Linked DNA regions of Elephas maximus indicus. The protein of the gene in region 1 interacts with the protein of each later gene in a biochemical or structural test. Links are inferred from orthologs where the notes say so. Each region holds a gene or a part of one and is shown on either strand. Other genes may lie near its edges.

Region 1 (7,810 bases):
TCCTAGTATTGTATTAATACAAAAAGAGTTTAACGTCTTGATTGCCTGAAAGGGCATCAGGGACATCTAGGCACTATGCCATTCTATACTTGGTTAGTTTCCTAGAAGTGAGATTACTGGGTCACTGGTATGTGCATTTTAAATTCTGATAAATTCTGCCAAAGCTCTCCAAAATGTCTGTACCAATTTCTACTACTTAAGATTGCATGACCATGATTAATTAAAAAGTAAAGAATTCCATTTTTAAATCCTGACTTTAAGAAGCACCATAAGGTAATGGATTACCCTATTTGCATATCTAAAACCAATGTTAAAATATAACTAATGTTTCAAGGCAAAGTAAAATCCAACTACCCAGATTTAGTTAGATGAGGTGAATACCCGTCTGTAAAAAATTTAGTTAGATGAGGTGAATACCTGTCAACTACAAGTTCACTGAGCAGAGGCCTTTGTTTACTTGCATCATCCATTGTTAAGAAGTATTTGTGACAGAATTTCAAAGTACGTGTCACCTGCACATATCTTATATTTGCTTACAGGACTGGTGGGCTCAATGGATATTTAACATAAAACGCACAATACAAAAACAGCAGGCTGCAACAGCACTGGCCTCTGTTACAGACGTCAGTTTAAACCAACCCTTAGCTTTAATTTCACACAGAATTACTGGAAGCGAATGGTATAATTTGTACTGTCGGCATTATGTTCACAAAAACGTGAAATACAAACTATTTTGCCCAAAAAGTCATTCCCAACAGAGAGGGAGGAGGATGAACGCTCATTCAATGGGGAAAGGTTTATTCCTTCCGCTAAGGCAAAATAACTAGACGCTGTGTATTCTCAGTTCACAAGGAATGCTGCTTCCCCACTTGATTTTTCCCACATAGCTCCAAAGTGAGCTACTTACGACTGAAAAGGTCAAGGATATTAGTGTCAACTAGGTTTTACAATTCTTAAGCTTTTGGGGAGCACAAGCCACTTTGAAATATGATAAAAAGCTCTCTGTAGATAAAAGCACAGACAGCCCAGACATGTGTATGCACCTCAGGTGAAGAGCCCATGCCCTAGATTAGAGCAGAATCATAAAACTATGGTTCCTAAGAAACCACCGAAGTCCAACCCTCAGGAAAACTGAGGCCCTGGAACCACATGGTAGGGCTTGTCCAAGGTCAACAGTGAATTGAAATCACAATCAGGAAAGGCATAAGCAATTCAAAGAGATTTTGAATAAAACCATAGCTTTTTCTTACACAAAGAAAGTTCAACCAGAAACTAAGACTACAGTAACAGAAGCTTTAAGCAGTACTGGAATGAACTAGCACGAACACTATCCAAAAGTTCCTTGATGACCTAAGCTGCAGACATAAGGAAAAACACAACTTCAGGAACCTTAAAAAGCACTCACCATGTTCCACAAAAACATTGCAGTGTGGACCCCCATGCCTCGATGATTCCTTCTTCCCTGCTCCTTTGATAAAGTGCAGGGCAGGCAAACTTGGCCTTCGTTGGTCCCCAAGAACTTTTCCAGGCTGCTGCCCCATAAAGTAATGCTAGGCACCCAGAAAAGGGTTCAAGGTCTTCCAGAACAGTCAGTAAGCTTAAAAAGAAAATGGTATATATGTGGGATTTCACATTCACCGCATCTCCACAAGTCAGTAATTGAGGTCAATCACAAAAAGACACCTTCCAAAACAAGAGTGAAGCACAGTTCTTAGGTTGACTCTTGTAAACAGGAGTTCCAATAATTTTTGCGGTTAATCAATTTGAAGTAATGGAATTGTAATGTTACCCAAAAGTTTGACTTTAAGTGTCCTTTACTGACTGAATATCAACGTCTTTCTTTTCAAGAGGAAAAACTTAAAAATATTCACAGGGAATGTTGTAAAGGGTCAACAATACTAAAGTCATTTGAACTCCCACATGTAAAGGAAACGTTGATCTTCTTTAGATGCTCCTCCAGAACTTTTCCTGTGCAAGTCACCCACCCCCTATCTTAGTTTCTTCATCGTCCAACAAATTTCCTGCCGAACTGGCTGCTGCTCCCGCTTCTCTACCCTTCTGTCCGGAAAAGGACACGGATCACCCAGATTTCAGCGAGAGCTTGCCCTTCACTCTGTCGAGAAGGAATGCATTGCCAGCAACTTTTAAGTTCGCTTTTTAAAAGGCCTGTGAAACCAGTCCAGACTTTTCCTTTGCATTAAAGTTTTTGGCTGGGCTGAGACCGAGGGGGCCGTAGGTGACATTGGAAGTCAGGGCATTAGAGGCTTGCAGGAGCAACCTGGGGGGAAGGAGAGGTCACTTGACAGCAGAGAGGGAATCTGAATCTGGGGGGAACTCCACGGCCAAACCTGGAACCGGGAATGGGAGCAAGAGGCGGCTTGGGAGTAAGGAAGCTGCCGGGTCGGGGCACCGGCGGTTTACTCCGGGGCGATGCTCCTCCACCTCTCAGTAAACGGGGTGTTTCAGGTCTGGGGGGGAGCAGAGGCCACCCCCAGTACCCGAGAAGCCCGGACGGGCTGTATGGGACTAAGTACCCTCGCGGCCCCGAAGTCGGAAGCCGGTGTAGGGGCTAAGGAGGCCCGGCCGCCTCAGCTGCCCCGAGCCTAGGGGGCTCAGCCCGAGACACCCCCTCCCTCGGCCCCGGACGTTGCCACGGCTGCCGCCGCCACCAGGCAGTCACATCCCCCGAGTTCGGCCGCGGAACCCAGCCTCCCCCCGCCGGGAGGGGCTGTAGACAACGGAGGGGCTCCTCAGCTGCAGGACCCGGGAACCGGCTCCGGCTCCAGCGCTGCTCAGGGAAAGACATCGACCCCCGCGGCCGCCATGATGGATTACGAGCAGCTTCACAACGAGGCCAGGCTCCACCCCTGTCCCCGCCCCCTAGGGCTTCCGGAGCGCGCCTCTCAAAGACCGGGATGCCCCTGGACCAGCTTTCGAGGGACGCCGCCGCACTTTCCGGCTCTGGTCTCGCTGCCTGCGAGAATCTGGACCAACACAACCTCTTAGAAGTGGTTTATTCTGAGGGGCAAGGTGAGTAGTAAGGAAGCACCCGCCTCCTTTGTACTGCCATTGGTTCCCGAGAATCGGGGTCAGGCCTCTCTCCTCCATCCCATTGGCCAGAGGTGCAATGGTGCTAGAGCTCCCAACCAACCACTTTCGATGTATTCCGCAGGGCAGGCCGGGAGTTGTGGTTCTGCGAAGCCCGCTCTTGTTGGCCGGCACCCGGTACTTCTTGCCCTTTGCTCTCAACTCCTGAGCTTCGGTCCCGCCTTCCTGGGAGACCGTGGACTAGATGGCCTCGCGTAGGGCTGGCCAATGTCTCCCCTTCGCAAGTAATAAAACCGGCGAAGAGCCAAAGTAAGGGGAAAACTGCGGATTGGATTATCCCCCGAACCGGAGTTGGATTACTTCCTTAAGCTTCTTTAGGGGAAAAAATTTGGCTTGCTCCTGGAAACGAAGACTATTTGGTGCCTTTTTCACCTTTCCACCCAAATTTCCACCTTTTCCCCAAGAAGCATAAATATTAGAGCTAGTGAAAAATATAGCTGGAAAGCATCCGACGTATTGCTAACGAATGCAATTGTTTGCTTTCTCCGGGTATCACGAGGCTCACTCATTTAACAAACTGCAGTTGTTAAGCACCTCTCCAAGGCTTTGCCAGGCGCGTTCAAAGATGTTCGAGCTAGAATGAACCTTTAAGAGTGAACAACCTCGTTTCACAGATGAACTCGTATACCCATAAAAATATCCATGTTAGCTGAGGTAAAGCCCAGATCGTTGAGTTTCGCAGGGCTGCGGGGCTAATTAGTGACCCAGACACACCAAACACACCTGTCATAACCCATCTTCCGCAACTGAAAAGCACCCTGGCTCCCTATCCCTGTCTCCTCAAAGCATTGCATGTGGTCGGGATGTACTCATTTCTAAGGAGATCTACTTATCACAGCGCCTACTCTACGCCCAGCACTGTTACTAAGCACTTTTCATCAACTGCATTTTCACTTAATCCTCATTACAGTGCAATAATGCGTGGAATATTACTCCCCATTTTTTCACTATCAAATAACTGTTGATGCAATACTAAACAATAGATTTTTCAGAAGTTGCTGATTAGGGGGAAGCCACAGCCCCATTATAAGTGTTGTACATTCCCCTGCTATATGTAGGTGACACATTAGCCCAACAAATGAGTTATGTATTCTAGAAATATTTTTGCTGGAACGTAAAATGGTGCTGTGATTGCATAGGTATTACCTTCAGGGGGAAAGGAGTCACTTGGAGGTGAAGCTATGAAAACATGTGCCTAGATTTCTAACTAATGTACAAATTCAGATGTTAATTGGCTTAGCTTTGCTGTCGCAGAATATCTGACTGACGTCTAGTGTAGCAACTTTTGAGTCATTCTTCAAATTTTAACACCCTTGGTCCCCTTTATTTTCCCATAATCCTGATTATTCCCCTCCCCCCTCCCCCATTTTTGTTTTTGGAAAATTTGTTTTGATTCCTATTCATGCTTTACTCGTTTCCTCCACATCTTCATGTATCTTCATTCTCTAATTTAGCTTAAATTTGGGCAATCAAATCAGATCCAATACATGTTCCTTGAACAGTTTATTTACCATTCATTGAACAAGCATTTCTTGAGCACACATGATGTGCCAAGCACTGTTCTAGGAGCTGGAATACAGCAGTGGGGGAAAAAACATACTTGTCCTCATGAAGCATACATGGGAGAAAACCAGACCCAGTGGCATCGATTCCGACTCATAGCGAAGGGACAGCAAGTACACAAAGTAAGTAACAAACCCAAGTATCAGTCTCAACCCACACTCTAAAGAAGGGCTTTATAATACCTCTCTAAACCTTAAATATGTATCTTATTCACAATTGCTAATGGGCTTAAATCACTTTAATTCTCTCCATCTATTTCTTCGCCTATGAGTGGGGGTCCTATTTGCTTACTTTATGAGGTTATCATGAGGATCATCTTAGATACTGTTTGATTTTCCACAGTAAAAGACTGAGACCATGCTTCATGATAGGCAATGTAAAGATCAACTGCACTTCACCTAAAGGCTTATTACCGCTAATGTCCATTTTCCACTGCTTGTTAGTTTTAGGTGAACCCCAAGCCCAGGCTGTAATATTTTTCTCTAGAGAGGCACTATATTTTTTTACTTCCTGTATAGCACTACAGAATGATACTTTTGAGGACTGAAAGTTGGATCCAGAGCCCAGCAAATATCTGTCAAAAGCAAATAAATGTTACCAAATGTTGACTAAATCCCTTTAAGCTCAAAGCCTTTTCATAAACAATGATTTAGTTGAGTCTAATTTTGTTCTCGCTTTTATAAAGCAAAGCAAACCCACTAGGTTGCTAAAGAAATTCAGCACCAGTGTAAAATTTTCAGCTTTTTTAAACTTACTGAAATTATACTTAACAAGGGTGCCCTCTAGTGGGCCACAAAAAATAATCACCAAAAGGTGCTTTCAAACCTTCTATTAATTTCCACTTAATAGGCAATCACGATTCAACACTGAATGAGCAGCATAGGCCTGGCACCTTGGGAAAGACCAAGTGATAAGGATAAACTTTCAGTGAGCTTTCGCTATGGCCCTAGTCAAAACCAAAACTGGCACTCAGACACCAACCCTCCTGTTCCCTTCTAACAAAAGGCTTAAGGCCTGGAAATTTTTCTCAAAAATACAACAAATGAGAAAATCTAAAGTTAAAGCATAGCCTATAGAATCTTGATGAGTCTGCAAACTCATGAAAACCAGTGATACAAGGTGGGGTAGAAAAAAAGTGACATAAGAAGTTGCCCATTGAGTAATAAGAGGAAAAAAATACCATTTAATGAGATAGGGCGAATCTGTACTTCACATTTTTCAAGCGCAGTGCAGTGTTCAAAAGTTACTGCCATTGAAACTAACATAAGGCCAAATATTATTAGGTAACCCAAGTATAGTCAGGAGCTGTCAGAAGGAACTTATATTCACTAAATCCTCCTGTTATTACAATTATTACACAGAACACAAATCAATGGTGTTAACACCACCTTTGTAATATAAAAAAGTAGTTTACCACATATTTGAAATAAACAGCCCTTTAAAACAGCGCCTTTAAAAAATGTTTCCCAACAACCTAAATCAGGGCACCATTTTTAGGCAGTCGTCAGAAAAAACAATCCCTCGGTGAGAACATCAACACCTTGTTTTTATCTTTTAACCTCAAATTAATTCAAAAGTAAATGCATTACTTCAATGACAGGAGGAAAACAGCTTTTCTTTTTCTATCTGTTTTTCTTACTTTGTTTTCTTCATGTTTGTCACAACACCCAAAGGTACATGGATCCAGAACATTCATTCTCTCTGCTGTCGATAATAATTCAGCTTCTTACGACTCACCCCTCAAGGCAGGACAGAGGTTAAGGGGCGGATATATTTTCAGCCATCACTAGAAAAAACATTCAATGGGAAATAAGAGTCAAACCAAGCGAACAACGGCTTGGTTAACTTTATTATTCCATTTGACTGCTAGATTAACTGGAATGTTGTACTTGCACTTTAGAGCTGGAAATAGAGACAAAGACACTTTGGGGGTCAGAGATGCCATGTGTTTTATAGGGGCAATTTCATGGGGTATTGTGCACTTTGAATGATGGTGAGTGGAAGACAAAGGATCCTCCACATTATTCCAGGATGGAAGTCCATTTCGCTGGAACTCTGCACGCTTTCAAAGACCTGAAACTACCCCCTAGTGCTGGGACTCAGCCTACCAGAAGGGCCAGAGGCACTGTTCACCTCTCCACCCAGTCCTCTCTTAGAAGGAGGAAGCAGGTATGTAGGCTGGTGGCAGCCCACAGCTGTTGATGCACATCAAGTGATGAGTTTCTCAGCTCTTTACTGGGCTGCACATGGGGACCATCAATTTGATTCTTCACTTTCTAGAACGGCTTCAGCCAGGTACAGACAGTCCTGTCCTGCAGGTGCCTCTCCTTATCCTTCCTGTTCTAACAGCCTCTGGCGCGTTTCCATCACAATTTCTTCCATTATCTCTGGCTTTAAGATGTCTTTGATCTGAAAAAAGGAAAAAGGCATTTGACAGAAAAGAAACCAACCATAAGCAGATCACCAAGCCAATCCAAACTTAGAAACCAAACACAGTTAATATAAACCTTCTGTATGCCTTTCCCTTACAGAGGCTAAGTGTTTCAAGATATGATCTGCTAGAATTAGCTTAATACATCAGCAAGATTCTATGGGATATAGCTGACAAGAACAACTATTCTGACATTCATTAAATTTGGGATGGGCAAGATGAAGTCCAAAGGGTTGCTGTCATAAACTAATCCCATCTGGAACGTCCATCTCCCTAAATCTTCAGGTTGATACTTTTCTTGTTGTGTGCCATTGAGTTGATTTTGACTCATAGCAACTCTATAGGACAGAGTAGAACTGCTGTAATCTTCATGAGAGCAGATTACCAGGTCTTTTCTCTAGCAGAGGGGTTGGTGGCTTTGAACCATCAACCTTTCAGTTAGCAGCCAAGGGCTTAACCATTACCCCACAAGGCACTGAGAATAATGCAAGTATCTAGGGGAAGATCTACCACATGCTCATTAAGGCTGCCCCTCAGACCAATTCATACTGATGGACATGGTAAAGGTATTTGGGAAGATGTACTTTGTGTCACTGTGGAAACACTGGAGCTGACGGATGAACACCTAATGCCTGCTCACAGGTCGGCGAAGAAGAGGGAAGCCCTGAACGGAGTACCTGATGTGGAAGGGACGCTTCATAGCAGTAC
Region 2 (7,962 bases), on another chromosome or scaffold:
AGTATGGTTAAGTACAAATACCGCCAAGAAAGAACACAAAAGGGACACTCAATCCTGATGAGGGGCCTATCTGTCAGGGCTTTCTGGAGGAGGCGAGACAAAGCTGAGTCCTTAAGGGGTCAGGCAGGTAAAATAAGGGAAAAATAAAACAAAACCCATTGCTGTGGAATCGATTCCAACTCATGGTAACCCCATCTGTTACAGAGTAGAACTGTTCCATCGGGTTTTCTTGGCTGTGATCTTTAAAGAAGTTCACCAGACCACTGGATGGGTTCGAACCGCCTTTTGGTTGGCAGGTAAGCACAAACCATTTGCATCACCCTGAAACACACAAAGGAGAAGTGGAGGGTGCTCCAAGGGGAGGAAAGAGCCATGTGCAAAGGCTCAGCAACAAGAACACGGCCTGCTCTAGGAACTCTGTTGTTGACATGTGTCATTAAGTCAATTCCGACTCACGGCAACCCTATATGACAAAGTAGAACTGCCCCATGGGGCTTCCGAGGCTGTAATCTTTACAGGAGAAGACTGCCAGGTATTTCTCCCGCAGAGTCGCTGGCTGAGTTCAAACTGCCAACCTTTCAGGTAGCAGCCAAGTGCTTAACCATTGCACCACCAGGGCTCTAGGAAGGGAAAGGACGTAACTGAGGATGAAGCTTAGAAGGTAAAATGGGGTCAAAGCTCAGAGGACCAGCTAAGGAGTTTGGATTTTGCACAGGGGGCGATGAGACATCGAAGGGTTTTAGGAAGGGGAGAGAAGATAAAACACATTTTTAAAAGGTAAATTCAATTGTTATGTCTCTGCTTAAAAAGCTTCAAAGGCTTCCTACTGCACTTACAATAAAATCTAACTCTTTAGTCTGTAAGGCACTAAATAATCTGGCCCCTGCCTGTCCTTCGATCTTCATCTTATACCACTCCCCTCTTCATTCAGTATGTTCCAGCCTTCTTTCCATTCCTTAAAACCTAGGCTCCTTCCCACCCAGATTTTTTTTTTTTCTGATACAAGGGGGAGGAGCCTGGTGGCAGAGTGGTTAAGAGCTAAGGGTTCTAACCAAAAGGTCCACAGTTCAAACCTACCAGCTGCTCCCTGGAAACCCCACAGGGCATTTCTGTCTTATAGGGTTTCTATGAGTCGGAATCGACTTGATGGCAATGAGTTTATTCCATCTCAAACACTCCTCTCCCAGGTCATCATCCAGGTGTCCTCTAGTGGCTTGTGTTGCTGCACCCAAGATCTTCATCCCCATCCCACTGGCCATTTAACACTTTAATTGCAACTATCAATCTCTAAAAATATCTTGATTGCAAAGCAATTTTAAATAGGGAAGTCAGAGAAGGCATCTCTGAAACGACATCTGAACAAAGCCAGTCAGTGTTCAGACAGAAGAAACAGGCTTGGAGGCAGGAATGACTTTGGTGTATGAGAAACAAGGTCAATGCCACTGGAACAGAATGAACAAGGCAGGGACAGAAAGCAGTGAGTTTAGAGGCAGGCTGGAGCCAGATTATGCAGGACCTTAGAGGCCTTGTAAGGAGTTTGGATTGTATTCTAAGTGTGCTAGAAAGCCAAAGGAAGGTTTTGAGCAGGGGAGGAATATTATATAATTTAGAGTATGATTTATAGTTAAAAAAAAATCACTTTGGCTGCTGAGTGGGAAATAGATTGTACACGGGCAAAAGTAGCAATGGAGAGGCCAGCTGGGAGGTTACTGTAATACTCCAGATAACAAATTATGGTGATAGCAACAAAGATGGTGAGAAGTGTCCGTTTTTAGACAATTCTATATGGGTCAGTTTTTCTACTCTTTCTCTTGAAATGGCTACAAATAAATAAAATGAAAGGTAATATAATCTCTGTTGATGAAACAGACTAAGTATAAATCCAAGATACTATTACTTTTATTAATAAATCTCATGGAGGAAAAGAGGGAAGCTAATTCTACATTACATAAAAAAGCAAGGTGGGAAAAACAGAAGGAACTTCACAATGAGCCTGAAGGAGAAAATCTGTACTTCGACTTAATAAAAAGAGCACTTTTACTTTTTTTTTTTTTTTACAAAAGTAGACGTTACTTTACAGAACGTTAATGCAAAGTATCTTTGCAACATTTGTGCAAAGTGGAAAAAATTCACACACACAAAAATAGGGTGATGCAATCGGGACAAGAACGGTGTAGGTCTCTTATCTCCTTATTTATGTAACTGAAAAAGACTAAATGTGCTTGTATGGCTGACAAGTGGAGGTAAACACGAGGAGTCCCTGGGCGGTGCAAACAACGGCTGCTAACCCAAACGTTAGAGGTTTGAGTCTACCCAGAGGCGGCTAGGAGGAAAACCGTACGGCGCACACAGGGCTCTGCTCTCACACACGGTGTAACCATGAATTCCAAAACGCTCGATAGCAACTGAGTGTGGAAAACGGACCAGGAAGTGACCCGAAGGGACCCCTCTCTCCGGCTGCAGCAGGGCACCCCCCTCACCCCGCGTCGGGGCAAGCTCCGGGCCGCGGCAGAGATGAGGTGGAGCCGGCAGACGCCTTCCTCCTCTCGGACCGGCTTCCCTCAGGCCTCCGGCTACGCTTCGGGTCTTTTCCCGGTCTCTGAGGGAGAAGCGCCCAGCTCAGCCAGCGGGCATCTCCACAGGGCCCGGGCCGGTGCTGAGGAGACCGGAGCCGGCGCGCTGCAGAGCGGGGGAGCCCCACGTGAGCCGCCGGCTGGGACCGAGGACGGGAGGGGTGGGGGACGAAGGGACTGAAGACAGCCGGCCTGGCCCTACCTGCCCAGCTCCCGCAGAGCCGGGATCATAGACGCCAGCTCCAGGCCATGTTCGCCCATGTTGAGGCGGCGCGGCCCTCGGCAAGGAGATCCACACGGACTCCCGGCGTCTGCACCGCTGCCTCTGGCGGGAATGCGGGGCCCGACGGAGTCCCGTGGAGCCCAAACCTCCTCCCGGAAGCCGCCGCTGGTCCCGCTCACCAGGCCCGACTTTCCTTTCCGCACAGGACCCGGGGGAGGCCGACGGGCGAAAGGGGCGGGGAGAGAGGCGGGGCGCGTCGGTCAGCTTTCCCGAGCGCCGCGCGGGCCGGAGGCGCGGAGCCTTGACTGTGAGGGGAAGACTCTGCTGCTCGCAGCCGGGGAGGCTCAGAAACCAAGACCGCGGGATCTGGGGAGAAGGAGGCTTGGCAGGGAACTGCCCAGACGCCCTGGCTGCATAAACGCGAGAACTGAGAACACTGAATGACTGAGAACCAAGACTAGAGGCCAGGTCTCCCCAGGGCGTGACTCCCTCCCCGACCTACGAACCTGCCTTCAGGTTTTCGTTGTTCCTTTTACCACCACACTCTTGGCATCCTTTCTGAGAGAATCCAAGCAAGAGGTGGGTTCCTCCCTATCCAGGGGAGGATTATCCAATAAGCAGGGTAAGCACGGGCTTACTTGTGTTTACTTACTAATCTGTAATGAACAATTTCATATGGGTTTCTGTGAAGTTGTTCACTACAGAATAGGAAGTAAGCACAAGTAAGCCCGTGCTTATCTTGCTTACTGGGTCATCTGTCTGTGTCAGGGATCGTAAATTTGAAAAGAGGGTTTGATTGTATCAGAAGGTGCTGTGGGGTTGGGAGAGAGATGCCAGCCATACCTAGAAGCAGGATCTTTGATGTGATGAAGGAATGTGAAATTGCTCACTACAGATGATCTGGTAAGCAAGGTGAGCACCATGCTTGCCTTGCCTATTGGATAATCCGCCCCTGTCCATATCCTTTCTATTTCAGCAATATTTTCTCCTTGGAAGACACTCTTATGTTTCCTTGAGGATCCCCCCAGTCTTTAACATTTAAAAATGAGATTGGGTTGTTTTTGTATGCCTCATCAAGTCAGCAGCAATACTCCGTATGTTTATGTCACTTATGGGCATCTACTACCTGTGATTTAATTTTTAAAGTAAATCAATAGATTTTGTCTCTAGACATAGTCTAGCTCAACCCAATTTGTTTACTTGAAAAATGGCCATTATAAGAGACTACTGACGTGTCAAAAATACATATTTAACCAGGTAAAGCCATGCAGTGTGCTTACATTTGCTTTTTTGTTTTTTATTTTGCATATGAAATAATTGCTGATACAGTATCAAAAAAAACCCTCCAAAGTTTAGAATGACAACCAAACATGCTCCTGATTTAGGGCCTTTTCATTTGCTGTGTGCTCTGCCTTGACCTTGAATGCCTGTCCCTATTTGTCCCCTTCCTCCAGGTGTCCCCAAAGAGCCCCTCCTTATATAGACCAACACGTATACACTCACACGCTCTGTTCCCCTCATCCTACCTTATTTTCCTTCATAGCACTTAGAACCATACTATTTGATTAATCATCTCCTCCACTTAGAATTTAAGCTCCTGGAGAGCAATGTCTTGTCTGTTTTGTTCACTGCTAGATTCTAGGTTGAAATGCAGTGCCTGGCACGTAGTTGATCTTCTCTAAGTATTTGTTGAATTAATTGTTGAGTGGTATAGTGGAAAAAACAACATGGGATTGCAAATTAGTGACCCTGTACAAGTCCTCATTCCATCTTCTAGAAACCATGATCTCAGAAAGTTTCATAACCTCTCCATACTTCAGATTTGTTCATGTATAAAATGGGATTAATATCTACTGCAAAAGATTGCAGTAAAGATTAAGAGGTAGTAGAGTCATTTTTTTTTTTTTAGAGTCATATAGTGGAATACCATTTCATAGTTTAAATGAATGAAGGGTACGATACATACCAAATGGATGAATCCTCAAAGCAATATCGAGTGCGGAAAAAAAGCAAATTGCAAAAGGATACATAACAAAGAATTTCTACAACTCAACAACAAAAAGGCAACCCACTTAAAAAATGGGCAAAGGACTTGACGTTTCGCCAAAGAAGTGGCCAACAAGCACATGAAAAGATGCTCAAAGTCATAAGAGAGATAAATAAAATCAAAACCACGATGAGATACCCCTTCACCCCCCACTAGAATGGGCATTATTAGAGAAAAGGAAAACAACAAGTGTTGGCGAGAATGTGGAGAAATTGAAACCCTCATCCATTGCTGGTGGAATTGTACAATGCTGCAGCTGCTGAGGAAAACAGTATGGTGGTTCCTAAAAAACTTAGAACTACCTTATGACCCAGTGTTATGGGCTGAATTGTATCCCCCCAAAATATGTGTTATAAATCCTAACCTCTATGCCTGTGGTTATAATCCCATTTGGGAATGGGTTATCTTTGTCACGTTACTGAGGCAGGATTAGTGTAGCACGTGTTTTGTGTCAGTGTCTCACAAGGTATTAAAAGGAGCAAGTTAAGCAAGCAGATATGGGGGAAGATAGATGGCAAGCCACGTGGAGATCGCCAAGGAACCAGGAAACAAGCTGGAGAGACAAGGACCTTCCCCCAGAGCTTAGGGAGAGAAAGCCTCCCCTAGAGCTGGCTCCCCAAATTTGGACTTCAAGCCTCTTAAATTGTGAGAAAAGAAATTTCTGTTTGTTAAACCCATCCACTTGTGGTAATTCTATTATAGCGGTAATTTTTTTTTTACATAACTAAGACACCCAGCAATTTGGTATATATACAAAAGAATTAAAGGCATGAATGTAAACAGATAGTTGTATGCCAGTGTTCATGTTCATGAAAACCCTGGTGGCTTAGTGGTTAAGTGCTACAGCTGCTAACCAAAGGGTCAGCAGTTCGAATCTGCCAGGCGCTCCTTGGAAACTCTGTGGGGCAGTACTACTTTGTCCTATAGGGTTGCTATGAGTCGGAATCGACCCGACAGCACTGGGTTTTGTTTTGGTTTGGGTTCATGTTCATTGCAGCATTATTAACGATAGCCAAAAGGTATTAACAACCCAAGTGTCCATCAACAGATGAATGGATAATAAAATATAATATATCCGTACAGCTGAATATTATGCAGCCACAAAGAGAAATGAAATTCTGAAACGTGCAACAACCTGGATGAACCTTGTAAACATTATGCTGAGTGAAATAAATCAGACACAAAAGAGCAAATATTGTTTAATCCCACTTACATGAAATAGGAGAGTTCTGGCAGTGCAGTGGTTAAGAGCTTGCCTGCTAACCAAAAGGTTGGCAGTTCAAATCCACCAGCCACTGCTTGGAAACCATATGGGGCAGTTCTGCTTTGTCCTATAGGGTCACAATGAATCAGAGTTGACTAGATGGCAAAGGTTTGGTTTTTTTGTATATGAAATAGGTAAGTGCATACAGACCAAAATTTATTAATTCTTACCAGGGGCGGGTGAGAGGGGGAAATGGTAGGCATTGCTTAGGGGGTACTGAGTTTCTGCTAAGGGTGATGAAAAAAATTGGAAACAGTAGTGATGGTTGTGAAACATGGAATGTAATGTCACTGAATTGTACACATAAAAATGGTTGAAATGATTTGTGATATATGTATATATGTATAGTTCACCACACTAAAAATATTTTAAAAGAATACATAACGGCATTATATAATTTCTGTATACTTTTGAAACCACAAAATAATACTTTGTTATGTTCGCATACATATAGGATAAAACTACAAAAACATGGTTGGGAAGCTTATACATCAACTCCCAAAAAACCCACTGCCATTGAGTCGGTTTTGACTCATAGTGACCCTATAGGACAGAGTAGAACTGCCCCATAGAGTTTCTAAGGAGCGCCTGGTGGATTCGAACTGCTGACCTTTTGGTTAGCAGCCATAGCACTTAACCACTGTGCCACCAGGGTTTCCACATCAACTCCAGGGTAATGGAAATTCTGGGGAGGGAGAGAAGGGAAAGAAATGAATAAGAGTTTTCTCTTAATAGAATGTCTGAAGTGATCACGACAAATTTAACATTTGTTACATCTGGGTGATGGTATATTATCATCTGTATGGTTAGCATATCTCAAAAAATGTATAAAAAATAAATACATTTTTTTAAAGCTTAAGATAGATAATGTGAAAAACATTGTCAACTAAGAAGGAACAGATATTAGCTATTATTTTTAAATCGTGTGAAGAAAGAGTACAAAAATTACAGTGCTGTCTAGAAGGTAATTGCTGAATAGTGTTGTAACAGAGGCTCAGTAATCCATTTAATTTAAAAAGTACATTTTGTGTAAGGTATTGTACTAAGTACTTCTGTGACACAAAAATGAAGATAAAGTCAGTCTGAAGTGATATGTACTCTGTGGGTATAGAAAGGATGTATCGAGAACTCAAAAGCAAAGCAAAACCTGATGGATACCATAAGAGAGATATAAACAGCAGGCACTAGAAAAATAGAGGAAGCGATTCTATCTACTCAGCTAGAGAGAGGAGCTGGATCAGGAAGGAGTTCAAGGAAAAGATGGCACCACATCTGAGATGGGGCTTGAAGAATAAGTAGGATTTGGAGAGACAAAGATTGGGGAAGAAGAATATATTCTCACTAGAGGCAGCAGTATGAGCAAAAATTAAAGAGCGCACTGAGAGATGAGTGGTCCCTCTTGACTGATGTTAAGAAACATTTAGAGTAGTTAGACAGAAATACTTGGACAGATTTCAGTAAGCAACAGAAAGGCACTGGGAGATTTTCTCTAATGAGTAATGCAGTCTAAGCTAATCTCTAACCTAGCAGGAGGGCACAGGACAGAATAAAAGGAGGGCAGCAGGTCACTTAGAGAAATCAAACATCCTTAGCAGTATATCAGTAGATAAGCAGTTGATGTCACAGGTGGCCAACATTCCAAGCAGGCATCTTCCCCCCGTTACCCTCATATTTCTCTATTTCACCAAACTTTTTGGGGGAGTTTTCATACCAGTTGATTTTATTTCTTCACCTCCCACTCAGTCCTAAACCCACCATGTACTCTCAACCCTGTCCTCTTCCCCATTAAGTGCCTTTCGTCAAAGTCACCAATGGCTTTCATGTAACTAAATCTAAAGAATATTGATCACTCCTT
Region 3 (7,693 bases), on another chromosome or scaffold:
TCACTGAGGTCCTGGTGACAGAGACAGTAACGCACCATTTTCCGTAAACGTTCTCAACTCTGTCAATTGAGCTTAGTAAGAATAAGGCTGTGATATGGAGTACGCCTCCCTGGTCAATTTTTTCTTGAAAAGAGTATCTCTTCCCTCCCACTCCCGGGGCCGCCCCACCCCACTTCAGCATCCTTCACAGTTATCCAAGTTAGACTGGGAATATTTTTGAAATCTAAGGATGTGCTGTGATGTACTGTTTTATGATGTCTTTTTAAAGCAAATAAAACAACAATTTTCTCATTAGATATTTATAAAAAACATTTTGTCCAGTACTTCCCTTTAAGCCTCACTAAGTACAAACACGTCCCCTAGCTTATTGGAAGAAAAAGCCTGAGGAATTGTGAGTTTGAGATCAAGTCATGAATATGCACAGTGAATTAGACGATGCATGGTGTTTGCTCAGTCCAAGTGCTTGTTCTATGGTTTGTGGAAAGAAATGCGTGTTAGAAGGCCACTGCTGTATCTCTGAGAGCAAAGTGGTATTAATTTTCTTAAAAACAACGAAAAGACCAATTCTGTCATTAGAATAACAGATTTAATGTACATATTTATCTTATTTTTTTCCTACATTATATGGGCATTTAATGTTATCATTTGTGGATTCTTTGAGGTGCTCACAGTCAGTAGAGATTGTCTTCAGAACCAAAAGGTCAAATTAAAATGCAAAGATTGCTCATTTGCATCATCAGACTCTATGATGTGACCTTAAAGAGTGTTCTTGTAGGTATGTGTCATAATTTAATCATCTATCATATGGGAGGAAACCCTGGTGGCGCAGTGGTTAGGTGCTATGGCTGCTAACTAAAAGGTCAGCAGTTTGGATCCACCAGGCGGTCCTTGGAAACTCTACAGGGCAGTTCCACTCTGTCCTAAAGGGTCGCTATGAGTCAAAATTGACTCAATGGCAATGAGTTTGGTTTTGAGTTTGTATCATATGGGAATAACAAATACTGATGGCTTTTATAGGAAATAAACATATTGTTCACATATTGACTTAGGTATGTAATTTGCTACAATCTTTTCAGGGGACACCCTGACAGTACCTATCACAATAACAGATACACATACCCTTCAACACAGTAATTCCACTTTTGGGCTTTAACCTAGAGATAAAGTCACATTTAGGCCAAAAGATAAATGTGCAAGGACATTCACTGGAGCATTATCTGCAAGAGGGAAAACCAGGAACAGCCTACTGTCCTCAGTAGGGATACGGCTGAATCATTTATGGTACTGAAATCACGGGGAAGACTAAGGAGCTGTTAACAAGGATGTGGTGGATTTATACATTCTCACCTGTTAAGTAAGAATCAAGCTGCTGAACGATACGTGTGGTATGTCATACATGTTGAACAAAACACAAAAGAAATACGTTCGTAAGTGCATAAAAAAAATCTCGAAGTATACACATCATCCGGGAGATGATGGTTATCTCTAGGCAGAAAGGGGGGGGTTAGTATGTGAAGGAAGACTCCCACTTTTTACTGTAGATATTTCTGTATTGTTTGAATTGTTAAACATGACCAGGTATTTTTTTTTTTTTTAATTTTTAAAATAGTAATGAATAACAAGTGGTGAAAAAGGAATTTGTGGACTTCTCTTATTTCTGATGAATGTTATTTTGTGAAACAATGTTAACTAGTAGAAAGACCAAAAACATGGGTTCTAATATTGACTCAATCACTGTGGGTGGTATGTTTATGGGAATAAAGAGAGAGGAGAGAAACTAAGAGCTACATATACAGTAACCATCTCATATCTCATCAGGCTGTGGTGAGAATTCAGTGAAATATTGTACCAAAAAGTCTTACAGCTTGGTGGACTCCAAGCAGACATTAGAGTTTACTTACATTTTCTTATCCATATTCCACTCCAGGGTTTGAAATCCGTTCAATTCTAGCAAATAAAGGTAATAAGACAGTATTAGACAAATAATATCATACCTCGTGTTCTGATTTTGATCCTGAAAATACCGTGATGAAAGGTAATCATCTGTCCGTCACTCCTTTTTGCAGTTGTTAATGAGATAAATTTATAATGAATACTCCATCTTCTGCAGAGAACTCTCTGGCTAACTCTAAGCAAAATAGACAGGCCAAATATTTATACCTCATTCACTACAATCAGACAGATATGATCCTTTCAGGGGTGTGATTTAAAGATGGGATAAAAAGAGCCAAAGGAGGGGACAGCAGACTATTTTAACTTTACAAAATGCTTTATGGTTTACACTGCTCCTTCAGAAATATTATCCCATTAGATTCTTAACCCCAGTCTTCTGAGGTGGGCCTGGGCCACATCAGCCTCATTAAAAGCGTAAGAAGAAAACTGAGGCCCAAAGAGGTGAAGTTATTTATCCAAGCTCACATTCTGAGCAAAGCCAGGTCTCACTCCTCACTATTTTTATTCCTACTACATGGCTATCCAGAAAGTCAGTACCAGTGGCCTGGGGGGAAAAAATCTTAAAAAAAAAAAAAAAGAGGAGAGCCCTCATTTTCCTGTTAATACAACCTAAGTATCACAAGTGATTAGTGTATAACATCTTGTATGTCATTGCTGTTGTTAGGTGCTGTCACTTCCCACCCATACCAACCCTGTGTACAACAGAAAGAAACACTGCCCGGTCTTGCACCATCCTCACCACGGTTTGCTATGTTTGAGTCAACTGTTGCAGCCACTGTGTCAATCGTCTCGTTAAGGGTCTTCCTTTTTGCTGACCCTCTACTTTACCAAGTATGATGTCCTTCTCCAGAGACTGGTTCCTGCCGGTAACATGTCCAAAGCACTAAGATGAAGTTTTGCCATCTTTGATTCCAAGGAGCACTCTGGCTGTGCTTTTTCCAAGACAGATTTGTTCATTCTTCTGGCACCCCATGGTATATCCAATATTCTCTGCCAACACCATAATTCAAAGACATCAGTTCTTCTTCAGTCTTCCTTATTCATTGTCCAGCTCTCACATGCATATGAGGCACCTGAAAACGCTATGGCTTGGGTCAGGCACACCTTAGTCCTCAAAGTAATACCTTTGCTTTTTAACACTTTAAAGAGGTCGTCTGCCACAGACTTGCACAATATACATCATTTGATTTCTTGACTGCTCCTTCCATGGAAGTTGATTGTGGATCCAAGTAAAATGAAATCCTTTGCAACTTCAGTCTTTTCTCCGTTCAGCATGATGTTGATTATTGGTCCAGTTGTGAGGGTTTTCGTTTTACGTTGAGGTGTAATCCATACTGAAAGCTGTAGTCTTAGACCATATAAATGATATAAAAAAAATTTTTTTTATCATGTATTATACATATTTAATACTATCGTTAAGCAACGAACAAAAATCCTAGGTCTGAAAGTCACCCACTGTCATTTTCGTAAATCTAAGTCTTGGGTTGTTACCGGGCTTCTTTACTGGCTGGGGAGAGTTATTCTTCAGCGGTGCTTCGGTGTCAGCTATCGTCCATCCTGAGAGCTGCTGAAGAAAACTGCGTTGATTTAATAAGCCATTTATCAACCTCTTGTTGGCAGAATGGGCCTAGTAAGTTTTGGTGGGCTGCTGTTTCTTAAGCATAGCAATCGGTAAAGCTGATTTGGAGGGCACTTGGGGACAAACGACAGGCAACCATGTAAATTGTTACAGGCAACCATGTAAAAGAACATATACCTGTGACTTTCACAGAAAATACTATTTGATGATGACGTACGTAAAGGGCAGCTAAGCTGAAAAGAAAACCGAGAGTGGGGGCAGCCCAAGGGCACCAGGTGGGAGGCGGTTGGCGTGCAAGCTTACCCAGCAAAAATACTCGTGGTTAAAGCAATTACAAGGGTTACAGGGTTTAGTTCTTAGGATCACCCAAATGGCAGCCCAGGGAGGCACAAGTAAGATTTTAAAGAGATTCCTGCGCAGGAGCCGCTCGGCCATCTCCTCCCGGGCTCTGATCACGAGGCGCAGGGAGAGCACGCCCCAGCCTCTCCCAGCTACTCTCACCCCCAGACTCAGGCCTCTAAGGCGAACTGGAGGGGCTCGGGGCCACGACAGGTCTTCCCGCTACCACCCCGTCCTCGACTAGGAAACCGCCGGGGGTGCCCTCCCTTTTCGGGGCGCAGCCCCCACCCGAGGCCCCCGCAGCTTGGCGGGAGCAGCCGGGGGCGGGCCAGCGCGCCGGGAAAGCAGAGCGAAGCCGCCGCGCGCCGCGCTCAAACTCGCGCCGCCACCAGCTCCGGAGCGGCGCCCCACCCTCTCCGTCACCAAAGGCGCCCAGCCAATGAGCGAGCCGGAAAGGCTGAGCCTGCGGGCTACGCACGGGGAGGGGGAGCGGCGGGAGGGGGAAGGGAAGTGGGGGCGGGCTGCGCTTGATTGACAGCTCGCTGGAGCCAATCCTCCACGCGGCTTGTCTTGGTTCTCTACTCGGCTCAGCTCTTCGCCCCACCTCCCTCTCCTGCGGCCCCCCCCGCTCCCTTTCGACCCCCCCACTTCCCCTCCCCCACTCTGCGGGCAAATCGCGCTGGAAAGAGGCGGGGGCCGAAGCGGCGGGCTCGTGTGGAGGCTTGAGGCGGGACTGACGGCTGCACCGGCCAATCGGAGCTAGGCTGATGGCGCGGCTGTGGCGGGAGCCGGCCAATGGGCGGGCGGGCTGGGGGCGGAGGCCCAGGTTCCAAACGCTCCGCGGCGCCATGGGCTGAAAACTCAACCGAGATGGAATCTCCCAGTCTGAACCGGTTGAAACCGGTTCCGAGTTTGAGGCACTAGGAGGAGGGGGAGAAGCGGCTGCAGCGGCCGCGGCAGGAGCAGCGGGAGCTACAGCATCAGCAAGAGCCACAGTAGCGACAGCGCGGCGGCCGTGCCTGCTCCGTCCTCGCTGCCGCAGTCCGTGCCGCCGCCCGGAGGGGAGGGGGGCCCCGGTCGCTGAGGAGAAGGGGGGAAAGTTTAGGCGAGCCTCGGCGGGGGCCCGCGCCGGAGCCGCGTGAGGGAGCCGCGCTTCGGCAGGGGGAGTCGGACTGCACCTGGCAGCGGAGCGTCCCCCGCCGTGTGGACTCTGCGCCCTCCTGCCGCCGCCCGGGCTGCGGGGTCCCCGGGGCTGAATCTGTGGGACTCGACCGCTCCCCTCCCCCTCCCGACTCCCCGCGGGCGGGAGCGCCGACTCCACAGACTAATTCCCTTCTTTTTGGGGGGCGGGTGGGTGTGTGTGGGGGGAGGTGTCCCGGAATTGTAAATATTATTGAGCCTTTTTTTCGCCCTTTTCCCCGTTTTTTCGGTTTCCCTTTTTAAGGTGGGAACACTGTGAATCCCACCTCGGCCCCTCTCCCCTCCCGCCTCCCCTGCCCTCGCCCCGACAAGGAAGGAAGCAGCAGTTGGTTCGCTCCCTGGGTAAGTCGGCCGGCGGGGCGGCGGGCGGGCGGCGGCGGGCGGCGGGCCGGGGCCGAGCGGAGCCGCGATGAATGGAGGCGGCGGGGCGGCCGCGTGTGCGGCGGCGGGGAGCCCGGGAGGGGAGCCCGGGAGGGCACGGCCGCCCCGGCCCCGCGGGCTGCGCGAAGTTGGGGGACTGCGGGAGGACCTCCGTAGGCTCTGAGGCGTGGAAGTTTCCAGAAACATGTAGTGCAGCAGCCCTGAAGCGTCCGCCCGCGTCACGTGGCCCTCGGCGGAGGCTCGGGATCGGGAGGGACGGAGGGAGGGGCTGCGAGTCCCGCTTCTCCTGGCGGAAACTCGGCGGCTTTGTGGCTCTGCGGAGCGGCCGAGGGCGGCTTCGGGGCCGGGCCGCGGCGTCCCTCGTGGGGCGCGGCGTCCCTCGTGGGGCCGCAGCCTCGCGCGCCCGCTTCAGGGCCGGCGGGGTACCATGGGGGATGCCCTGCTTCTGCTCCCTTCCAGCAGCCGAGTGTGGGGTGGCGGGAGGGGGGAAGTGGTGTGGGGAGGAGGCCTCAGGCTGGGCCCGGCCCTGCTGCCCTCCCGCCGAGGCCGTGCTGCGGAGGGCCCGGGGGGCCTGAGGCGGGAGGCTGGGGGCCCGGGGGTCCGCAGACCTCAGCGCCGGGCGGGCCCTTTGGGCACCTCGCTCTTCGGCCCCGTGTGGGCTTGTCACTGCCGCCGTGACGGTGTTCGGGGTCTGGGGCGGGAGCTGGCGGCGAGCTGCCCCTGTGGAGCCTGAGGTGGCGGTGGAGGCATTTTGGCAGTCACTCGTGGAGTCACAGCTATGTCGGCTGATCCCTGCGACGTGCCATCTATGCCATCTAGTGAGTGGATCTTAGGGTCGCGGCGCCCCAGGAGAGGAGAGAGCGTCTGGGGTGTCTGTCCTTAGGCTCTTGCTCTTGGCTGGCTGCGGGATCGTGTATCCTGAGAGCGGGGCGCCGCTCTCAGTGGAAGAGTGTTTGGGGAGCCGGTGGACTTGGGGGACGGAGTGCCTGGCATTTCTGTCCTCCGACGGCTCGGGAGTAGGCAGGTCGCTGGGAGGACCCCGCCGGCTGAGGGCGGCAGCTGCCCGCTGTGAACACGGGTCTTCTCAACCTGCTTGTCCGCCCGGGGGCGCGGGGGACTCCTCGGGGACGGGAACCTTGGGAGGAGTCGCTTCATTCCTGTAAAAATACCACAGGTAGAGCTGCATAGAAAAGTAAAAGTTTGGTTTTCAGCCCCCCCCCCCCAAATTAGAAAATTTATCATGTGTAGAGTTTGGTACTTTCTGGGCAGTGCTTTCAGGTCTCGATTTTTAAGATATTTCTGACCTAAAGTGGGGGAAAATTTACGCATTTCTTTGTGTAGTGTTCTGTTTTTTTATGTTACGTGTTGAGTTTTAAGACTTTTTTTGGGTATGACAGGTATTTTGCTGTTTCAGAATTGTGTGTGATACCTGTTATAAAAAAATATGATGTCCCGTCAGTTTTAGTTGTCAATAATGGGCCAGAAGACTTCAGAAGAATAAAAATGTCTTGGAACTCTTAATATCTCGATGTTTACATTATGTCTGACTTAAATGACTTCATATTTTAGACTAATAGTTGTTGTAATTGAAATTGCTGTTATTGTTGTTAAACGTTTTTTGAACTACTGTGAAAGAGCCTTAGAAATCACACCTTTCCCCCTGTCAAACTAGTTTGTCTAAATATAATGCCATCAAATTATCCACTGTCTCCTGATAATGGAAGGTTCCTAAGAGGGGAAGAAGTGGAAGTGGCCATCCGCCCTGGTTGGTTGTAAATACCGTAAACCAGGGGTTCTTAACCTGGAGTTTTATGGATGATTTCGAAGTGTTCTGAATCCTCTAATTTTATACAAAATTGTGAGGTTTTTTTTTTTTTTTAATTGGGCAAGAACTATAGTGTTCTCTGATTCTAAGGCATCTTGACCCAAAAAAGGCTATGGAGTTGAAGGGCATTAAGTTTGAAGAAAGCAAGCTAAGATGTTCTATAACACTGAGCAACCAAAATGTGCCTGAGTTCCAGCATGGTGGAGTAGAATTCTCTTAAAAGGGTAATGTTGCGAATAAACCAGTAGGTTTTAGCCAGTGCGTTTATTAGAGGCCAAGTAATGATGTCTTTGTTACGGTATGGTTTGTTTTCATTTGGAAAATACATAGTTGGTGAACTGAATACCTGGACGTTTTCTCAAATCTCACTTGGCCACAAAGTTTTCTTTTTCCTAAACCATGTATTCAAGGATTTT
Region 4 (7,038 bases), on another chromosome or scaffold:
GCCAAACCAACTCTCAAATGGCAAATCTAACATGTCAAACTTCAAGCTTGGGAGAGGGAATTCAAAGATTCAGCGTAACAAAGTAAATCTAATCAGGACCCAATTCAAGGTGCATTGTGACTGCCTGAGATAACAGGGAAAATGAACACCTAAATTACAGCAACAGGCTGGGAGTGGCAGCACAGAGAGAAACAAAGCTGAACTGTGAGAGGGAGGGCCTGGCTCTGCAGGGTCAGGAAAAGGTCCACTATTTGTGAGGGGGCTAGAACAACAGGTAAGATTTCAATAGGGAAGTGTGGGGCGGAGGCAGGCATTCAATGAAGATCCAGCAGCCCAGGCAAAGGCATAAAGGTTTGAATTGGGATGACAACCAGGGGACAATGGAGCAGACTAGTGGGGCTATGCTAAAGGAAAGATGAGAGGGGCTGTGCAAGCAAAGGAGACAGAAAGACACATCTGGTATTTGGGAAGACACATCTATGGAAAACCTGGCCTCAATTTTGTGGGAGTGGGAGTCATTGAAGCATACTCTTTTTTCCCTCTAGAAGGGGATTGTCCCATTCGCTCCCATTTTTTGAAACATCTACATGATAGTACCCGTAACCTCAATGTACGAACAAGACCTTGCACATACCAAGGCTGAATAAATGCCTGAAATTAATTACATCATTCACCTTCACAAATTAGGAAAGTTAATTTACTTATATTACAATCTCATTACAGTGGGTTCCAAGATTCTGTCTAACCCCTTATATTAGAATTACATTGTACTCAAAGTTTACCGGTTTCCACCAGTTAGATTCTTGGTGTCCTGGTCTTTGTTTAACAGTATTTGAGTATTAATCACATTCTCCTGGTCCATTTTGTCCAGCAGTTAATCTTAAGGCACTATACTGTCACGGCTTTGTTTTGTGTGTCTCTATCCCACAGAACCAAAAATTTGGTTCCGTTAGTGCTCCGTAATTTATTTTAATAGCTTTCAGTGTTTAAAGTTTATAAATAAAATGTTATCTACCTATGAAAAGTCAGAAACATCTAAACCTGAAAAATCTACTCCAATACCTTATCCTTTTAAAATACATATTTAACAAACAAATCAGGTAGTGAAACACCTTTTAGTTAAAAAAATTTTACACAATTTCTTCAACTCATATTTAGCATTCTTTTAGCAAAAGAAACTTCACAGTATCAGGAAACCGGATAAAATACTTATTACGGCAAACTAAAGCAAATGGTCAAGTAAGACAATGCATTTTACTTGGAAAAGAGGATGTTTGATGCTCAGTGTCACTGTGGGTTCTTAACCTAAAAGCAGATATTAAAATCACTAGACTTAAAATAGAAATTACATTTGAAATTGAACTAGGATAGAATTAAGACAAGTGCCATTCAAAAATCTCCCTTAGTAAACATGCTAGCCTTATTCCACCTCGGGACTTAACCAAATGGATCTCTAACCTATTAATAGTCCAGCTTGAAGAAAACGGAAAACACATTTTCAAAAAAGAAAAGGCCCTCGCTGAGGCCAAAGTATCTTTTATTTATTTATTTGGTAATTTATAGTACTGTAAAATAAAAGATGTCTGGCCCATGTCAAACTTAGCGCCGGGTTATCAATATACAATTTTGATACTTCAGCTTAAGGTCTTTGTTTCTAAACGCTAAAGCGTATTCATTTCTCAACCGTTCAAAGGTTGCAGTTCAGGGGTTCTTAACCGGGAGCTCAGAGATCCGCAAGGAGCCCAAGAACCTCGAACGGTGTGCATACGTGTGTACGTGCATTTTGGGGGAGAGGGGAGGATACTATGGCTATCTTCAGATTTTCAAAAAAGTCTGTGGTCCAGAAAGAGGTTAAAAAAACAAAAACAAACAAAACCCTGTTTTCGTGTGATTGCCAAATAGACAAAGTGACAAAAGGCAAAAGGCGTACATTTTTAACTATGCAACCACCGTTAAACATATTTAAAACGCATGCTCTCATCCACAGTGACCCAGATCCTCACACAGACCTTCTGTTTGGAATACGTTCTGGAAAATAATTTGGTTCCGAATGGGGGACAGGAGTTCCAACCACCATCCCCCACACTCCTCGGCCCCAAGCGAACCAGCCTGTCCATTCTCCCACCTCGTCCGCGGGCGGGGCGGGGCGGGGCGGGATCGTACCTGGGCGCGGGCTCGATGAGGGTGGTGGTGTCCAGGTAGTGGATCTTGTAGAACTCCAGCAGGGCGGGCAAGTGGTCAAACTCCTGGTCCCCGATCTTAAAGCGGCGGTTGGGCAGCGAGTTGATGATGTAGTGGGAGACCCGCGAGTTCTCGGACACAGACAGCACGTAGTCCCCGGGGCAGGTGGAGGAGTCGCGGACTAGGAACATACCGTGGCGCTGGCCCTGGAGCCGAGTCTGCGCCTCCTGGCGAGACACTGGCCCCATGTACCAGGCGGAGCGATCCGAGGAGTCGAACCTGGCGGAGGACATGGTGTCGGGCCAGGGGCTCTGTGGACGGTCGGGGTGGCGGCTGCTCTGGAAGCCTTTGCCTGGCAGATGGCTTCGGAGCCGAGGAAGGGCCTCCCGGCACACCTCGGGGCGCACTCAGAGGGCTGGGCCGGCACCTGCTTCGCGGCGCCGGGCCCGCAGCATTCTCCGCCGCCGCCCGCCTGCTCCGGGGCCGCCTCACAGAGAAAGCCGGCCCGGGGAACGCGGAGCAGAGCCGGGGGACGGGGCTGGCGAAGGCGAGACCCAGCGGAGGCCGCCCTGCGGGTCTCGGGCAGACCGGCGTACCGGGAGTGCCTCCAGTGACTCCCAGCCTGGAACGCGCCGCCGCCGCCCCCACACAGCTGCGCACCGACCCCAGCCGCCACGCGAAACACCGGACTGCAATGAGCGTCGCCCCTCCAGGGCAGTTTTGCCCAGTCCGTTCCCAAGAGCCACAGCAACAAAATGGCGGACGCGGGAGAAGCGGCCGGCCACCTCCCCCTCCGCTCAGCACGCTCCGTCTGCGCACGCGCAGCGCTCTGACTCCCAGCTGCCGCCGGGGCCCTCCCGGTGACAATGCGCGGCGCAGCCAATCAGGAGCGCAGCTCGGAGCCGGGGCGTGCACCTCCCGAGCCCGCTCCCGCCTTCCGGGAGGAGGGGAAGGCGGCGGCGGGCACTCCCTTCCTGGGCCGCGGAGCGCCGCAGGGGGCGCTGCTGTCGCCCGGTCGACCTGCCCTCCTCGCTGGCAGGAAAACAGCTGGAGCCGTGGGGGAGCGGCATTTCGAAAACCTGCTTCTGGGGAACAAAGAGTAAAGTGCGGAAGCTATGCGGAGAAATAGGCCGAATCTTCAGCCGGGGAGGCGTGGCGCTGAGGCGACCTGGCCGGCCGAGGGACCCGAGGGGCCCCGCACTGAGGGAGACCGACAGGCGGACAGGTCCCGATGGGTCGCGGTGACTCAGGAACGCGGTGGGCCGGCCGGCTGAGGTGACCCTGGGACTGAGATGTCACCAGATAGGTGAAAAGGTGGCCCAGGCCCGAGGTGTTAGTTGAGTTACCGTACGGGCACCAAGGTGGGTGTGAAGGTTGGATTGACAGGATCAAGTGGTCTGGGAAGCCTGGAGGGCGTCTGGCCATCACTCGGTGAACTGCTGCAAGTACAACGCCAACGCCTTGGGATTCGGCCTGCTTCTCCGACTTCATCTCCGACCGTTCCCCTTCTCTTACCCAGCTCCAGCCGTGCCCTCTTAACCTATTTCCACCCCCGCTAGCATGTGTATTTTAAGAGAGCAGATATCTTGGCTGTCTTGTTCACCCTTGGCCTAGAGTTGATGCTCAGATATTTGTTGACAGAATTGAGAAAGACCACCAAGCTCCTGGTGCCCGATTATTGGTAGCATCACCCCTGGAACTGGGCAGGCAAGAGTGGGAGAAGCAGGCAGCACAAGCCCATACCTAGATCCCTGTGCCAATGGAATTTTACTTGGCTGTTTGCACCCCCAGGTTAAACATATCCTAGACTGTAGGGTGACGAGTGGAGTCCGTCCTAGGGTAAGGAGAATGTCAAGGTCTAATGCCTTCAGTGACTCAGCATAAGTAAATTTTCATCTTCCCCCAAATGCGCTTGCATGTTGTATTAGTCTGAGGTACAATTTGAATAGCACAGAATTTGAAGCTGAATGCTTGGGTTCAAATCCTGGCTCAGTCACTTGACTAGCTGGGTAGCTTGGGCAAGTTACTTGATCATTTTGTGCCTCAATTTGATCTATAAAATAGGGATAATAATAGCACTTACCTCCTAGGTAAAAGTAAGTATGAAGGAATGCAAGTTAATACATGTAAAGTGCTTAGAATAGTGTCTGGCACATGTTAAGCATTATGTAAGAGTTTTCCATTATTATTATTCAGCCTCTGCCTGGGCCTCTCCCTCTATAGGCTAAAAGCATGTGCAGATCTCTAAATGGGTGAGTGAAGGCTGGGAGAAAAACCTCCATATGATTTTCTGTTTACTTTTCACTGCCAGATTTTACCATTCATCATCACCCACTCCTTGTCCAGCCTTCCTGATCTAGTTTCTACCTGTACTTTGACCGAAACTGGGCTCTTCAAGGAGATTACTGATCTCCAGTGAAACCATTATTCTTCTGGATCTCCCTGGCCACATGTGTTTATATTGGAAATGTCTTTCTGGAAAGACTTCTTTTTTTGGCTCCTGGAACAGTAACATAGTTTTCTTCCTACCTCTCCAAATATACTTTTTCAGTCTCTTTCTATAGCACTTTTGTCTCCAGCTCCTGAGTGTAGAAGCTCAGTCCGTAATCTGCCTCTACAGTGCCTCCTTTGATAGACTACTCGTCCTGAAGGCATTAGGGGTCACCTCCCTGTTGATAACTCCAAAACACATATATTCTAAAAGTAAAACAGAAAGTGGCCACACCCTATGATTACTATGCAAACACAGTAATCACAGCCTAATACAATTCTTATCACATTGTATTGTAAATGTTTACACGTATCAGTCCCGTCCTAATCTGTGAGCATTTTGGAGGCTGACTATAGCAGTATTTTTTATATTCCCAGTGCCTAGCACAGTGCCCCACACATAATACATACTTAATAATTTTTTTTAATATATATGATGAAGTAAAGAAGCCAGAGAAAAGCAAAAATTTATTTCAGTGACGATAAGGAGATTCTATGATTGTTTTCTGTTATTAACATAATAAATTTATTTAAAATACATAGTTTGGCTCCATATCTCCCTCTGTGTTTAATCTTTCATTTGGATTGAACTCTGCCTTTCAACTTCCCCTTTTATGGCAATAACACCACTGTTTTCCTAATTTCCAGGCTTAAAATTGGAGTCCTCTTTTACTTAACTGAAGAACTCAATAGTGATACCTAATTTTGCTTTTCAGTTCACAAAACTTCATATTGTATTACTTAATCCAACCAAAGTCCTATGAAGTACGCATTTACAGACGATCCAGAGGCCCAGAGAGGCTAAGTGACTTGCTTCAAGTTTCATAATTTGCAAGAGGCAGAGCTGCCATTCTTATTTATTTTTGGCGGCCATGTATACAACCAAATACATCCATTTAAAATTTCTACATGAACACTTCAATGACATTGGTTGCATGACATTTGTCACCATTCTTACTATCTCTACCCATATTTCATCATAATTAATTTAGGCTGTCTGCCCCTTGAAGTTCTCATCTGTGCTTTAGATTAACGGTTGTCAGTTTAAACTCACACAGATAATTCTTTAGAAGAATCAATGCTCAAGGCAAACATTCTTTAGTAATTGGGCTAAGCTGTTAGTTTAACAGTGACTTAATGGGATAGTTTCAGTGCAAGATTTAAAGATTATTTCTGGGCATTAGATTTGGGTGTTCCAGTCTCAATGGATCCAGTAAGTCTGGTTTCCATATGAATTTGAAGTTCTGTTCCCTGCTTTTCCTCCACTTGATCAGGATCCATCTGTTGGATGATCAAAACATCTTGTAATGGTAGTCAGGCATCATCCATTTCTTCTGGTCTCTGTTAATGGAGGTAGTAGTTTATGGAGGCAATTAAGCCTGTAGACTATTTCCTTCACCGATTCCCGGGTCTTTTTCTTCCTCTGCTGGTCCAGAACAATAGAGATCAGTTGTATCTTGGGTGGCTTTGTGCAAGCTTTTAAGACCCCAGGGGCTGCTCATCAAACGAGGTAGAAAAAAACTCTAAAAACAACGTTAAACCAATTGACTGGATAGACCCATGAAGTCATGACTTTGAACCAAAAAAACTAATCAATGAAGTATTTAATTGTATCTAAGTATTATAGTATCAACAGGTGCAGCTTTTTTTTTTTTTAATCTTTTGGCTGTTGTAAAATTACGTACAATGCTTTTTTGCCATTTGACCTTTTTTTATTTTTTAACCTGGCATACAGCTTAAAACGGTAACAGCTACATTAGTCTAGTTGTGTAACCACTACCCTTAGTCAATGCCAATTTTCCCATTGCCATAGACAAAAATTCACTACTTCCCAGTGCATGAGTTCCCCTTTGCCTCCCTGCCTCCGGTAACCACTAGTAATCGTTCCTCTCTATGTAATTACTTATTCTTGTCATTTCATTAAGTGAGATCATACAATATTTGTCCTTTTGTGATTGACTTATTTCACTCAGCATAATGTCTTCAAGGTTTATCCATATTGTAGCATGTGACAAGACTTAAATTTTCTTTGAGGCTTGATAGTATTCCATTGTATGTATGTACCACATTTTGTTTATCCATTTATCTGTTGATGGACACTTGGATTGTTTCCACCTTTTTGCTATTATAAATAATGCTGCAGTGAATATCAGTGTTCATGTCATTTCTTTTAGGTTCCTAGGGTATGTACATAGGAGTGAAATTGCTGAGTCATATGGTAATTCTATTTTTATAATCTTTGAGGAATTGCCATACAGTTTTTCCACAGCAGTTGTACCATTTTACATTTCCAGCACCAGTGGATAAGGGTTCCAGTCTCCCCACATTCTCACCAACATAGAGCCAGTATTCTTAAACCAGGTCTTT

The links.
Region 2: of the proteins of ABL1 (region 1) and ATR, one has a biochemical effect on the other in vitro, tested with the Homo sapiens proteins (2 studies listed by BioGRID, with this or other methods). The link is inferred for Elephas maximus indicus from reciprocal best matches to the Homo sapiens genes ABL1 and ATR.
Region 3: the proteins of ABL1 (region 1) and XPO1 interact in a test that uses a peptide from one of them, tested with the Homo sapiens proteins (2 studies listed by BioGRID). The link is inferred for Elephas maximus indicus from reciprocal best matches to the Homo sapiens genes ABL1 and XPO1.
Region 4: the proteins of ABL1 (region 1) and CRKL form a complex in vitro, tested with the Homo sapiens proteins (4 studies listed by BioGRID and IntAct, with this or other methods). The link is inferred for Elephas maximus indicus from reciprocal best matches to the Homo sapiens genes ABL1 and CRKL.

What each region holds. Positions count from the first base shown.
Region 1 is NC_064827.1:81,645,868-81,653,677, reverse strand, and holds the start of ABL1 (tyrosine-protein kinase ABL1), read right to left. Parts: upstream 3,011-7,810; 5' UTR 1,542-3,010; coding exon 1,406-1,541; intron 1-1,405. Other genes in the region: EXOSC2 (exosome complex component RRP4), read right to left, coding at 7,693-7,810. UniProt on the Homo sapiens protein: Non-receptor tyrosine-protein kinase that plays a role in many key processes linked to cell growth and survival such as cytoskeleton remodeling in response to extracellular stimuli, cell motility and adhesion, receptor endocytosis, autophagy, DNA damage response and apoptosis.
Region 2 is NC_064841.1:17,232,745-17,240,706, reverse strand, and holds the start of ATR (serine/threonine-protein kinase ATR), read right to left. Parts: upstream 3,004-7,962; 5' UTR 2,835-3,003; coding exon 2,776-2,834; intron 1-2,775. UniProt on the Homo sapiens protein: Serine/threonine protein kinase which activates checkpoint signaling upon genotoxic stresses such as ionizing radiation (IR), ultraviolet light (UV), or DNA replication stalling, thereby acting as a DNA damage sensor.
Region 3 is NC_064844.1:728,493-736,185, forward strand, and holds the start of XPO1 (exportin-1), read left to right. Parts: upstream 1-4,686; 5' UTR 4,687-5,413; intron 5,414-6,047; exon of another isoform or gene 6,048-6,270; intron 6,271-7,693. UniProt on the Homo sapiens protein: Mediates the nuclear export of cellular proteins (cargos) bearing a leucine-rich nuclear export signal (NES) and of RNAs.
Region 4 is NC_064840.1:21,415,777-21,422,814, reverse strand, and holds the start of CRKL (crk-like protein), read right to left. Parts: upstream 3,006-7,038; 5' UTR 2,475-3,005; coding exon 2,164-2,474; intron 1-2,163. UniProt on the Homo sapiens protein: May mediate the transduction of intracellular signals.